Linked DNA regions of Neodiprion lecontei. The protein of the gene in region 1 purifies or fractionates together with the protein of each later gene. This does not show direct contact. Links are inferred from orthologs where the notes say so. Each region holds a gene or a part of one and is shown in the gene's direction. Other genes may lie near its edges. The genes, in order: transmembrane protein 192, lysosome-associated membrane glycoprotein 1 and lysosomal aspartic protease.

Region 1 (4,674 bases):
GTTGGCATCTCTTTTCGAACAAACGACAACTTGTAGAGCCACGTCCGCGAACAGTCGGTCTTGTATAGCCTCGCAAATTCCGCAGCCGATATTCTTCCGGGTGATCGGGCTTTTATCCTCGGGGATTTTACCTCGATCCCGTACTTCGTTACCTGAGCGGTATTTCAATTCCGAAAGTCGGTTGTAACCGTCGTTCGGTGCCCCTGCCGCCGGGTCGCCGATGGAGGAATTGGGATAGGCGTTGACGTGAATTTCCCCAGCATACAAAGTTCCGTTTCCGCAACTACGACGGTTCATTCCTTGATTCGTGCACAGCTCGCAACACGCGCCGGCGTCAAGGAACCATTTTTTCTCCCGAAAAACTTGGAAATCTACGTCTTCACCGGTCGCTGAGGTACGAGTCGATTTTCTAAGCTGATTGCACTTGGAAACGCAGGTGCTGCGCTTCCACGGCTCCCAGGTCTGAACGGAAGTCTCTCGGGCATTGGTCCGTTTACAAGTTATGAAATACCATTCGTTCGACAATTTGCAGCCCCGGGACGGTTGCCGCTGACAGCCGTCCTCCTTGCTCTTTCGGTAATCTCGCTCCGACGTATCCGAGCCTCGGATACGGTCGTTCGTTTCCTGGGCTGCATCAATTACACCTCGTTGCACCGATGACGACGAGTGTTCGGAGAAATGTTGCATCGTCGCAGAGGAAAGCGGAATTTAACCCCATCGACTTATACGATTTAACGCGAAAATGCGGTCAGGATTCGTAGCGTAATAAAAGTCCTTTCGGAGTAACGTGCTTGGGTAGGATTTATCTGACAACAGTTGATTTGATGTTTCATTTTTAGTTTTATTTTCTATATTTTAACTTGAAACACTGCCGAGTTTTGAGGTTTTCCTTATATTCTGGCGATCACCCCGGTGACATCTTGTCGCCGTTTTCTCTTGTCGCTCCGTTTTTTTGTTTTTTTTTCCTTCCAAACAGCGAAAACCCAGCATATACATCGGAGACGCGACAAAAATTATTCCTCGGTCATCCATCGCGATTCGTGATAGTGCATAAGTTTGGCATTCTTGAGTGCATTATTTTTTAACCATTAATTACCCCTACTGTTCTGTTATACTACGATTACTCACAAAAAACATTAACAACTACGAACAACCAAAGGTACAATCATTTTGAAATAGCGAAAACCCAAGTGCCGTCTGCGCGCATCAGCCTTTACAATGAGATGTTATTGAAATTTTGAACTTTGGCGGGCTTCGCCTGACGAGAATGCTCGTCGTCTGCTCTCGATGCCATTGTGATTGGAGCGACACTTGAATCGCTTATTCCGTGGTTCCAAAGTCCGTGGCTTGTCACACGAGTGGTTGTAAACTCATCGGGGAAACGGCTGATCGCGGCTGATCTGATCTCATCTCTCAAGTTCCGACCGACGATCCGTCATCGAACGTTGATTGATACCTGTACCCCCGTCGTCCCTGTTCGATCATCGATCTTTCAGTCGTAAGACTATCGTTCGCGCGATGTAATATCGCGGCTGCAATAACGTTCCCGCAGTTGCGACAAACGTTGGGGGATCATAGGCGCGTGTTATTGCTAGCGCAACTCCGAGGAATGCATCGGCACACGTGTGGTGGCAGTCCCTTCCGATCGCTAGAGCGCGAGGCAGATAAAGACGGGCGATCTTTCGCTTGAAATCCTTCACATACCAGGCTCGTCGGGGAATGGTCAGCCTCGTGCGTGATCGGCCGAACACTTCTGGAAGCGTAAGTGAGGCAATGACCAATCATGGCTGATGGTTCAGCTAGTGTCGTACTCTCCGAGTTCGCGGAAAAGCCGACCCAGCCCTAACCTCAATATCGCCTTTATGATATTTTCGTTCGTTGAAGGGCGCCGTATTTTTTGCCGCTTCTATGAACATGGACGACGACGAATATCTGCAACCTGTTATCACCTCGCAGGAGGAAGACAACTTTCACAAATTGGACACGATCCCGTACACTTTAGTCGCCCTCGTATTTGGCGTGAGTAAAATATCATAACCTCGTTCTTGGTGTTCTTTTGTAACTCCTCGGGTGACGTAGAAAAACCTAACCGAAGTTCGAAAGTTGAGTAATTTGCGACATATACGCATTACGTACGAATTTAATTATTCTTAGGTTGCCTTGGAAATAACTGGGATAGCCTTTATCTCGTTCTGGCCTGAGGAATCAAACAAATGCGACACATATTTCGTACTATTGTATCTCCACTGCGCCTACTGGCTCCTGGTAATGCTGCTCGATCATATTCTCAAATCGAAACATCATCATTTGAGGATAAGCGGCTACTTGGACTTCTATCAGTCGACTTACCCGCACATAAGGGCTCCGTTTTTCGTCGCCTCACTTTGGAACGTTGCTTACCTTTTGCTCGCAACAATCCTACATCATACGCACAAAATGGACTATGAGAAATACTGCAGAGCTTCGGAGTGGCTTACGCCGATGAACTACATATTGCTTCTCACCACTTTGGAGCTTTCGATAATCGTTCCTGTCTACGTCAATTATATCAGTAAGCCCGGCGGATTGTTAGTTTGCGTCGAAGATGATACCGAAAAAATAAGATGCCTACCATTTCTTGTATCAAATTGATATAACTAACGGAGGGCCGCGTTCACATTCTAGGACGAGTTAGGCGCTTCAATCGATTGAGACCACCACCAGATGTCACCCGTGAGGAATGGCTGTCGTCGTTCACCCAAGACTCGTACGCCGGTGGCGGGGAGGTTGGCTGTCAGCAGAAGGGATCGAACTTGGCTGAATTACTCGAGAAGCAAGCCGATCTGATTAGGTACTTGCGCGATCACAATGTTAAACTCAGCCACAGGATGATGATGCTCGCGGACCAACGGAGACCCAGAGAGCCGTAATTGGCAATTTGTTCCTTCCTTCATGCGCGGTCGTATGATATGATGTTTGATGAATTTATATAATTTCGTTGCTTATATACTAATAACGAAACAATGTTTTTCCACAAAAATCGCCACTTCTTCTGTAGCGACGATCGTTCACTGCCGACAAACGAGTTGTCGGCAGCAAGTGGACGTTGTTGCCGACTGTTGTGTAAATGAACTTACTCAGCTTTGTCGCGAATTCGTTGAAAAATTTTGTGGTGGCAGTGTTAAATTTCCATCAGAGTGTTTCAAAATTTTCTTCGACATGTCGTTGGTTCTAAGAAGATCGTGTCAATACCAATCCTCGACTTTTCCTCTCCCAGTTATCGTTGCCGCTCCTATGAGAACTGCAAGTGTCGAACGTTCTGCTGCTATCTTCTTCTGAAGATTTTTTGTCGCGTGAAGGTTTCCTGACATGTAATTGTTACCCAATTAACTGAATTAATTGATGATAGTAACTTTTTCCCCTTGCTTTGCCTCGAGTTTCATAGGTCTTCTGAATAGTTCCTGAAGTGGAAAATTTTGTAACAGCGAGTAGTCGACAATTTTTTATGTGTGATCAGATAATAATAATAATAATGTAATTCAAAATCGATACGGTATGTTGTTTCAAAGGCGCTTACGGCCATAACGCCCAAGAATATGAAATACTGAGAATAAGAGATTACTGTGATATCGCCGTGAATGTAAATTTTACCAATTTAATAAAGTACGTATCTATATTTTGAATCGATCGAACCAGTTACATTCAAAAACACACGATCACCGTGGTTCTCTCTTCACGTTCCTTGATGTTAGTACATCTCTGCTAAGCGTTACAGCAAAGTCACTGTCATAAGTTGACGTAGGATTAATTTATTCACATTTATTTCCAAAATCAATTCCTTGTAGGTATTACCTCAAATATACTATTTTACATATACTTTTCAATTAATGCCGTGTTTTTTTTTTTTTTTTTTTTTTTTTCCTCCACAAAAATTTCATTACAAAATTAATAAGGTGTATATCGCTAAAAATTATCACTAGTTTACAATATTTGGAACAATCATCATTATTATTATTGTTATTATTGTTGTTGTTGTTACTATTATTATTATTATTCTTTTATTACCTTGCATCGCAGTCTTTCTGAAATTCTTTGAAAAAGTTATTGCCAAAAGTACGTTATTCTCTACTACCTTTCACCTGAAGCCCGCCCTCTGTTTCCAAACTATATAAAATTATACAGGGATACGCAGTGTATCCCTGAAGGTCGTGTATATATACATACGTATAATATAGTATACGGTTTTTGCAGTTTCAACGTTAAAGCCTCACGAAGTTTCCCTATACATATAATTACTATGAATGTTTCTTCTCATCATGCTCGCAATCTCTATATACCGCTATAGTAAAGGTTATAAATTTTTTTTTTTATCTACCTTTTCTTCTTTTTCTCCTAATTTCGTCATTTAATATACTATACGAATATTACGGTGACACATTTGGTGTGCGAGTACATTTACGCGCTCGTTACTACTTTCCTCGTACTCGTAGCCGTCCTAACTTCTTGTTTCTATACCATACATGCTATATAACTTAATGCGGCTTGCCAACTAAGCGTTCTGACGTAAAATCAATGCCTCATACATGTCAATATTTCAGTATGCGTCTTCGCTTCGCTATCTGTCGGCTTTCGGCTTTCTCGACTACACACATACGTTATTTATTGTACCTTGTGCCCGTGTTGCGACAAGGGAGT
Region 2 (4,674 bases), on another chromosome or scaffold:
AAGTGATACAATTGGATGCTCCGTCACACTACTGCAGTATAATTGGTTACCTGTAGAGTCCCAAACCTATTAGAAAGTTGGTAAAATAATGAAATTTTCCATAAATTATACATGAAACCTACTTGCATAATTTTAATATAATTACCTTATATCGACAGTCTTCACCAGCAGATACTATAAGCCCGTGTTTGTGGCTCCATGCAACAGCTAGAATCAGTCCATCATGTCCATGCCACTATCAGTAAATTTAAGAAATGCCCATTCAATTATTTAGTACTCAACTGAGAATATACCCTACTGTGGCCGCAGCTGACTCCAAACAGTTTATAGTGGTTAGTAATAGAACCACTAGTAATAGAAGCACTACCTTATGAGGTTTAGCATTTGTGTTGAAAAATTGAACCAAGAGGTGCGCACCCAGTGCATATAGAATTGAAGAACAGTCCGGACTCCATGCAGCACTTAAAGCTGGTTGTCTGCCTCTAGCCACTGTAGATCGAAGCATACCGCTGCGTGACCATATCTTCACAAGCCCATCTTCTCCTGCTGTAATTCATTATTGAGGATAAGTTTTAGAACTACGCATAGGACTATTGTTACAGAAAACATTGTGTGCCCGGCTGTTTCAGTGATTTAAGCAAACGATTATCTTAGATATGGCAGTCCTATTAAAAACGTGTGCAGTTTGAAGTTAACAAAAACAAAGTCACTGAATATTTTATTCTCACTGAATCATTTTGTATACTTGAATTTGTAAGTGACCTTACTCGTCATCAAGGCAGAACCGTCGTTGTTCCATTGGCCGACGAGTGTAGCTCCCTTGTGAGCCTCGACGCTTTTCTCTATTCGTCCATTTTTGTTAATCAAATGAAATTTACCTGTCAACAGAATTAACTTTTATTCTACAATTAAGTCTATTGAAGATAGTTGCATTACCATCAGCTGTTGTAATTAAGAGGATATCGAAAGATTGCTTTTTTGAAGACATACTCGGCTGCATAGGCCGAGGATGCCATTGCATATCCGTTGGGCAGAATTCAGATGGAAAAGTTGTAATTATTGATGAATGCACTGTGCCACCTTCCAGTCGCCAGCATAACAAGATATGGTCTTCACTGCAAGTTTGTGGAAATATGTTAAAATGGTACTTTGTCTGAATTTGAAAAACTATATTATTTTTAATAGGGAATGTATGCACGTGTGTATGTATTTGCGTTTGGGAATATATTATATACATGAATAAGTACATTCACAATGGAAAATAAAACGTCGTTTTGGACTGTGTGTTTGTATGCATACCCACAAGAATATATTTCTTCAGTAGAGTTCCAAGCTACACACGTGACTAAACCTTTATGTCCATTGGTATTTCGTAATGATATTTTAAATCGCATTGCTCTGGATAATATCTCACCCGTGACCAAAATGACAGAATGAGGCAAAGTGTAAGTATTGCGATCTTTGACGTTTCAGTTAATTGTAATTTTCAACGTTGCGTTGCCATTACGCGGGTACGTTGTCATGACAACCAACTTCACAGTGGGTGTATTCCAAAATATACTGGCAGTACTGCAAGTACTGGCAACCGCGTTACGAAATCGCGCGACAGCTTACTGCCGCCAGTTAGTGACGTCACGAAATTTATTGACATAATAAACTCGATTTAATGAGAAAACTTGAATTTTTTGTACAATGCGTGCATGGTTTATGCTCTGATCCACGCAAGTAACAGTAACGCATGTATTTAGCTGCCTAGTTCTTGACTAATAGGAATGCCAAGAAAATAAATAATTAGCATTCCACGCATATCTGGGTGCTTATTACGGATGTTCATTTTCCACATTTTCCACCACCTAAGCATTCTGATTGGGTTGCAAAATGTAGTCAAACAATCAGAATGCGTAATAATGCCACAGATCTCTATTAGATTAGTGGGTAACGCTAAAGTCAGGTCTGTAAGGCCGACTCTAGGGTAGCGCTTCTCTGCCGAATTGGCATTCCTATTAGTCAAAATACTACAGCAGCATTTTGCTGTCTATAAAAATTTAGCTAACAACGGAAAACTACAGATTGTGCGTCTATGTAATTTCACGACATATTTCGGAGTCTAACTGTTGGACGTGTCCGACAGTGTTCGTTAGGACGTCACAGGCCTGGAACGATCGTCACAGCCGTTATTAGTCACATACCTATATGTATATACTACAGTAAAAACTGATCAGTTTGGGGACATAAATCCGTAAGCTGTGGAGACTGGTTTTTTCTTCATAGTCAACTTTATTTTGCAGTTTACCGAGTTTACGCCATTCGAGTACCTATGGTTGAACTTGTTCGGAAAGTTCCGCATTGTTTGAGATTTGCATTTTATAAGATATTCGAGTGAATATCAGTGCTGAAGTAAATAGTTCCTGGAAATTTATTATCGTTGTATTTAGAAATGTTCCAAACCGCCTTGTTTCTTCTCTGCTCGGTGGCAGTACTGCATTCAGGTAATGTCGGAATTTTATTTCAGAAGGATTTCCGAGTTCTTTACAAATCCTTGCAATGGCAGATGATCGATGTTATCGTTTCGTGACGTTGCATTATTGTTTGATGTGACAGCTCACACAAGAGTTAGCCGTGATGAATTTATGCCATCTTGTACAATTACTAATTTCCAATCTCTGAATACTGATTCAGAGCTATGTCCATCTATATGACTGTACTTTACTCCGTCTTGTTTAAAATATTTCTTTGGAAAAACAACATTGTCAACTTCTGCTAATCTGAATATTGCTACACATCTTTGCTCAATATCAATTCTTTACGTATTCAAGATTACAAATAACTTTTTTCCCCTCAACTTTGGCAGAATGCTGAATTAGTTTGTTAATCTCCTTTTCACATAAATCGATCATTAACAAAGAGAATATTTACTTCAACATTTTAAAATGTCTGATGTGATTAATAGTATTTATCTTTTCCAAGTTGGAGCATGATATTTTTTATTGTATGATGTTTGCCCAATCAGTTTTGAACAATAAGATATTAACTATACCCTGAAGTCTAAGGACAGTCCAAATCGGTTTCAAATCGAAAGAACAATCCAATATCAAAAGTATGCTTACACAAATTTAAGTATTTGAAAGTCTGGTTGAGAGACACTGTGAGGTCTGCAGATCAAATTTCACTGTTAACAGTGGATATACTTACAATATGATAACCTTCAATGTAAATATAATGGATACTGTTGACTTATGTCTTGAAAACATCCCAATGAATTATGGATAAAGCTATTTATTCATCACATTTTTTTATGCACGCATTACATGCATATCTACATAAACAATTTCATATTAATACTTCAGGTCATTAAGTACAGTACATTATACACTGTGAGTCAAGTCAGTTGCTTATCTGAAACAAGTGATAGCAATATGTGAAACCAGAACTTCCTTAGTGATATTGAATCCTCTAAAACAAAGAGCGAGCTATTCTGCTCTCAACAGGCCAGTATACATAGTCAGTTCTTATTTGCAAGATGAAATGAATCCTTTCTTAACCTTTAGAGGACTGGTATTTTTCTCTTGAAATTCGATATTTTTTAGAGGCATGTTTTATGTATGTAAATAGTTAATACCTCCCGTGGAGTCTCGTAGTTATGCTGGTTCCAAAAAGAGTCAGGTCGGCCTCTAAAGGTCAAGCCATTCTTGAAAATAAATGATGACTAAAGACCACAACAGACATATAAATCCCAGCCAACATTCAACTACCAACAATTTGATTGTTCATAATCTGCATTTTATTGACAAAGTATGTATGTTTTACTATAAAATAAACGATCCTCAACCTGTATTTCTTACAACAAAATTTTATAAGGTAAAGATATGTAAGTTAGGTAAAATTGAACACAAATCAGTCACAGAAAAAACCCATACTTATTTGTAACTCAATTCAGTTTTAATTTTCTCAGGTGCAGAAACTGTTCCAACAAGTAGTTCTATTGACACGAACAGCCTCGTGGCCAGCTCTACTGAAAACACAAATCAACCTACCAATGGAACTACAATTTTCTCATCATCGGTTACACCAATTCCAACCGAAACAACTTCAGTTATGCCTACACCAACGACCACACCTACACCTGTGCCAACTCCAGAAATAGGAAAATGGATCGTCAATGAGACTAACGAAACTTGTATTATAGTAAAGATGGCTGTTCAGTTTAATGTTACATACATCACAACCGATCACAAGGTCTGTGCTAATCTCAGATAGAAACAGATATTGATCAAAATGAAGCATAGTATTCACAGATCAGTAGACCATGTGTTATGATGAAATTATTCTTTCAACCTAATCCTTACTACAATTTGTCTATAATACGTAAATTATATTTTTACAGAGTGACTTTCTTGTACTGGATCTACCTGTTAATGAAACTCAAGTCAAAGGCGTATGCGGTGCTTCAAAAGACATTGAACAGAATATTACGATTTCATGGCTCACAACTCCCAACAGTACCACTCAAAATAATCTGACCCTTCATTTCAGAAAGAATATAACAAAAAATCAATATAGTCTTCACGATTTGCAAGTAGATCTTGCACCTGAAAACTTTCCCTACCTTACCAGTGAGTTGGTTATCTTTTTCTGTCTATTCATACGTTTAGGAGAGATAAATTTAGTTTCTTA
Region 3 (4,674 bases), on another chromosome or scaffold:
ACTGCATCAGGTGAACTGCAGGGAATTTGCAAAATTACCACCGATCAACTTCGTAATAGCTGAAAAGACCTTCACCATCAATTCAAAGTACTACGTTCAACATGTGAGTATACGCTATAACTTTATGAGATTTTTTTTTTGATTTTCACACCTATACCGGTCAGTAAGTACTTAAAAAACGAAAAATGACTGTATGAGCTTCATTTGTATATGATATCTAGAAAAGGAAAACTGTGAAAAGGTTAGTGTTTGTATTATTACTTATTTCACTATGAGAAATACCAAACGAAGTTTTTGAATGGAACCATCTTATTTTAATAATTTTGATTGTGACTTTCCAGCTAACATACGAAAGTTTGGAAATATGCCTATCACCATTTGTACCGAGCGATGAGAAGTTTTGGCAACTAGGCGGAGCATTTTTAATGGAATTTTATACAGAGTACAATTTTGATCACGGTCAAGTGACAATCGGAAAAACTAAATTCTAAAGACATAATATGTATAGTTGACTGAAGACTCTCAAAGACTGTGAACCTAATGGGGTTTTATATGTCGTATGGGATTGCGTGTTAAACAGCTCCCGCGGACAAAGAAATTACCAAATCGCTAACTAGGCTTCTTATGGCTCCAGCCTCACTTACCCGTCGAATACTGGTAACGAAAGTTATCCCAGGGTTGACAGTCTTTATATTTTTCCGTCAACGTACGTTTATATAAAAATAATCGCGCATAAGTTCCTTTTATAATGTTTATACAAATTTTAATTTTTCTCAAATAATGTATGTGTACCTACGGTCGAAAAATAATAAAATTTACCCGTGTGAAACATCTGCATTACGCTGTGTCACGTATCAAAGGCGAAGATCAGCAATGCAAACTTTAAATTTCCCTCCAAAGCTACGATCTATCGCTGTGTGCAATCGACTCGCTTATATCGAACGATGCGGAACATCGAGTGATTGCCTCGAAAAGAATCGAGACGGTGAATTCTCGATTGTCGGCACTGTTGCGATATCGACGTCAGAATCAGGGGTCGGGAGTCGGGAGGGAGCGGAAACAACCGATCTTCAATATTATTTGTCATCGTTTTGACGCCGACATCTACCGTTCGTCCAAGTTTTACGCACATATTAAACCGAGACTTTGTCTCCCGCGTACGCGAATTGATCCGCTGTTCCACTAGTCCACGGTGAAGTCGAATCAACGTTTTTCAACATCAACGGCGCCGATATGTGGCGAATTATTTTATGGGTGGCTGCGGCAGTTGCTCTTGTCAGCGGAGATCTAGTCAGGTAAAGCAATATTAGAATATCATTGAAAATAAGTAACGGGAATAATCTATGGCCGTTAGAAAGATATTTCAGGTCAATTTCACCTTTATTACGTATCCTGCTATATTTGTATTTTCGCAATATAATATTTCTACTCATTATCTCGTCCATTGTTAACGGGGTTTTATCTGCTACAGAGGCAATTGACTTTGTGGCTTTTTGGCACCGCCTGGCGGATATACATATATCAGTACTGCTACGAGAATACAACTTAATAGATGAAAATTTATAGCAACTGGGAACCACACTTACAAAACTCACGTGCAACTGACTCGTCATAAAATATGAATAATGCAAATGCACATATTTTGAGGATTATCGGCTTCGAATCGAAACTTGTTGCTTTTAAACAACGCATGAATAAGGATTGAGCACATCCTTTTCTGACACAGAGAGAAAAAGAGAAAGAAACGTCCGAACCAAATGATTCATTTCTAGACTGCAATTTTCCCATTGAAAAATTAACCTTTGTTCCCGTGTTCGAATAATACGAATCTCATGCAGTGCGTGTACATTAACTATTTATTATGATTGGATCGTCCCATCAAAAAAAGTTCTTTCCTTTAAACCAAACTTCAATTTATTTTAAGATATAGGCTCGAAAACTACTGAAATAAATGTAACGTGAATCTGTCATTGAGTTTTGTATTTCCCATTAATAATCGTGCTTGTCCAACGTGATTTACGAATGGATACATTATATTTATACGTACAGAGATACATATATTGTTAATACGAATACTGACTTAGCCTGATTTTTAAATCAGCTGTCCACGTTTGAGTAGATGTAACTATCCTCTGGAATTTTGTTTGCTCAATATTATCAGCCGTCGTATACATATAGAATGTATGCTTTACTTAGATTGACCTCTAGAGGTTGCACCTCGCTTTCTCTCCTGTTATCTATTACTTATGTTTCATTTTTCACTTCTGTGGAAACTGTATCGTATAAGTTAGATAATTACAGACCTCCTTGCTGAGCAGAAATGATAATACTTCACAACAGTAATATTTATTTATAAACGACGTTGTTTATTGAATCTTTGACTCTATTCCAAATCAATATAATAAAATAAAAGCACTAAAATTTCCACAAAGTTTCCTGACCTCAATATTTGCATAATTTTTAACCAAAAAACAATCTACTCAATTTTTTTTTTCGTGAATTAAGAACAAATGCAGAAGCCGAAATTTGTTCGAAAATCAGTTTTGAATGGTCATTTTCCATTGTATAATTTTTGCTCATTCAACAGAGTTCCTCTCTACAAAGCACAAAGTGCTAGAAGGAAGCTTCAATCTGTTGGTACTGAAGTGCAGCAAATCCGTTTACGGTACGGTGGTCCCACTCCTGAACCTCTGTCGAATTACTTGGATGCGCAATATTACGGCTATATAACGATTGGCAACCCACCCCAACAGTTCAGTGTCGTATTTGACACTGGCTCATCCAACCTCTGGGTGCCCTCCAAAAAATGCCACTACACAAACATAGCTTGCTGTAAGTATGCGTACGCTCTTTATTTGCATCTTGTAAACAAATAATAAATAATGACAATATTGCCAAGCTAAAGTTGAAGGTATTAGCGTGTATTTATATATATCATAAATATTTACTTGACCACCTGCCAATTAAATAGCACTGACTTTAGTTCTTACAAGTCATCGCCGCTTAGTTAAATCTTGCAATCTGATCAAATGATCTTATCAGATTTACGCCGACAACTTTATTCAGAAATTAAATCCACGCAATACCAATGATATTCATAAGTTTATAAAAAAAATTGGCTGATATCATTTCTAAAGATTAATCTGTTTCACAATCAGTTACGTTCAATACCACGTAATGAATCTTCATCATTGTTTATTTGTTTACTTGCCAAATTACAGTGCTTCACAACAAGTACGATAGCAAAAAATCAACTACCTACCAGGCAAATGGTACCAAATTTGAAATTCGCTACGGATCAGGGAGTCTCTCCGGATTTTTATCCACCGATGTGGTATCGGTGAGTATTCAACACATATTATCTATTATCATTGTCTATCATTTCCTTTTCCATACAGTGGTCTGTTTTTAGTTTGTATTGCTATATCTTATCCTCAAAAATTAATTTTTCTCGTGAATTTTTCAATATATTTCAGTTCGGAAATGTTGACGTTCAGAAACAAACGTTTGCCGAAGCCATGAGTGAGCCTGGGCTCGCATTTGTGGCGGCCAAATTTGATGGAATTTTAGGAATGGCATACCCAAGAATCTCAGTCGACGGAGTGACGCCAGTTTTCAACAACATGCTGAACCAGGGTCTCATATCTCAACCAGTTTTCAGCTTCTACTTGAACAGGTATGCCTATGTCTACAGTTGAGTAGATTTTATTCACTTATGCCTACCGAAAATATTGTATTTCACGTTTCTACCCCCAAATTCGAGTAATCCGATCCTTAAAACCTCATATTATTAACTCATTTGTTCTTCAATCTATGCATTCATTCAATTTTTTTTCCCGTAGGGATGCTTCACAGAAGCTTGGTGGCGAATTGATTCTTGGCGGTTCCGATCCCGAACATTATACTGGTGATTTCACGTACGTTCCAGTCGACCGTCAAGCCTACTGGCAATTCAAAATGGACAAGTACGTACTAATTAAAAATCATGCACGATCGCGTAATGTTTCTTTTTAGGGTCTACTTTCATCGTTGACTGACAGTAGGCATGCAAGCACTGCAAGGTTCACTTCATTACCGGCGTTCTTATGGGATCTCAATAATCAGAATAACAATTTTATCTTTACCCCTCGTTTACGTATCTTTAGTCAATGCTTTCAGGGTTGTTCCAGATTATCTACGTTATCAAAACCTGTATTTTACAGAGTGTTGAAGTGAAAAGTTTTTCCTTGTCAGGCAATAAATTACCCACACTTGTTGCGAAAAATCTATTTTAAACGATGATGTGTATTGCAATTAAATGAAAACGGGACAAAGTAATATCAGTATTCTTGAAACATTGATATTGCTTTCGCATCTGGGCGAAATATCTTCGTGAATACGTTATGTAAACTTCACTAATTTTCTAGTAGATTGAAAAATTTCCTCATTTTTCTTGATATTTTAGAATTGTAACGATCGCGATCAACTTGAGTTTGTTTATTGTATACTAAAGTGAATCGTTAAATCATTTACCTCAAGTGATGCCGTTAACGGAACGTCTGCATTTATTTTATTCATTCATAAAACGTTTTTTTTTTTTGTTTTGTAATCCAACCCTCAAAAATATGTTTCTAGAGTCAAAGTAGGAGATAAAGTATTCTGCAAAAACGGGTGTGAGGCGATCGCGGATACGGG

Evidence for each region.
Region 2: the proteins of transmembrane protein 192 (region 1) and lysosome-associated membrane glycoprotein 1 purify together in Homo sapiens (affinity purification with mass spectrometry; 3 studies listed by BioGRID and IntAct, with this or other methods). This does not show direct contact. The link is inferred for Neodiprion lecontei from reciprocal best matches to the Homo sapiens genes TMEM192 and LAMP1.
Region 3: the proteins of transmembrane protein 192 (region 1) and lysosomal aspartic protease purify together in Homo sapiens (affinity purification with western blotting; 3 studies listed by BioGRID, with this or other methods). This does not show direct contact. The link is inferred for Neodiprion lecontei from reciprocal best matches to the Homo sapiens genes TMEM192 and CTSD.

Annotation. Positions count from the first base shown.
Region 1 is NC_060266.1:545,466-550,139, reverse strand, and holds transmembrane protein 192, read left to right. Parts: upstream 1-1,388; 5' UTR 1,389-1,719; coding exon 1,720-1,761; intron 1,762-1,884; coding exon 1,885-2,019; intron 2,020-2,154; coding exon 2,155-2,551; intron 2,552-2,664; coding exon 2,665-2,909; 3' UTR 2,910-3,662; downstream 3,663-4,674.
Region 2 is NC_060261.1:34,092,489-34,097,162, forward strand, and holds the start of lysosome-associated membrane glycoprotein 1, read left to right. Parts: upstream 1-2,242; 5' UTR 2,243-2,437; coding exon 2,438-2,489; intron 2,490-3,952; coding exon 3,953-4,236; intron 4,237-4,384; coding exon 4,385-4,613; intron 4,614-4,674. Other genes in the region: intraflagellar transport protein 80 homolog, read right to left, coding at 1-66, 146-235, 368-546, 768-878, 937-1,115, 1,300-1,394. UniProt on the Homo sapiens protein: Lysosomal membrane glycoprotein which plays an important role in lysosome biogenesis, lysosomal pH regulation, autophagy and cholesterol homeostasis.
Region 3 is NC_060264.1:27,422,893-27,427,566, reverse strand, and holds the start of lysosomal aspartic protease, read left to right. Parts: upstream 1-1,064; 5' UTR 1,065-1,233; coding exon 1,234-1,295; intron 1,296-2,587; coding exon 2,588-2,832; intron 2,833-3,221; coding exon 3,222-3,340; intron 3,341-3,476; coding exon 3,477-3,676; intron 3,677-3,842; coding exon 3,843-3,965; intron 3,966-4,614; coding exon 4,615-4,674. Other genes in the region: cathepsin D, read left to right, coding at 11-103, 342-491. UniProt on the Homo sapiens protein: Acid protease active in intracellular protein breakdown. Plays a role in APP processing following cleavage and activation by ADAM30 which leads to APP degradation.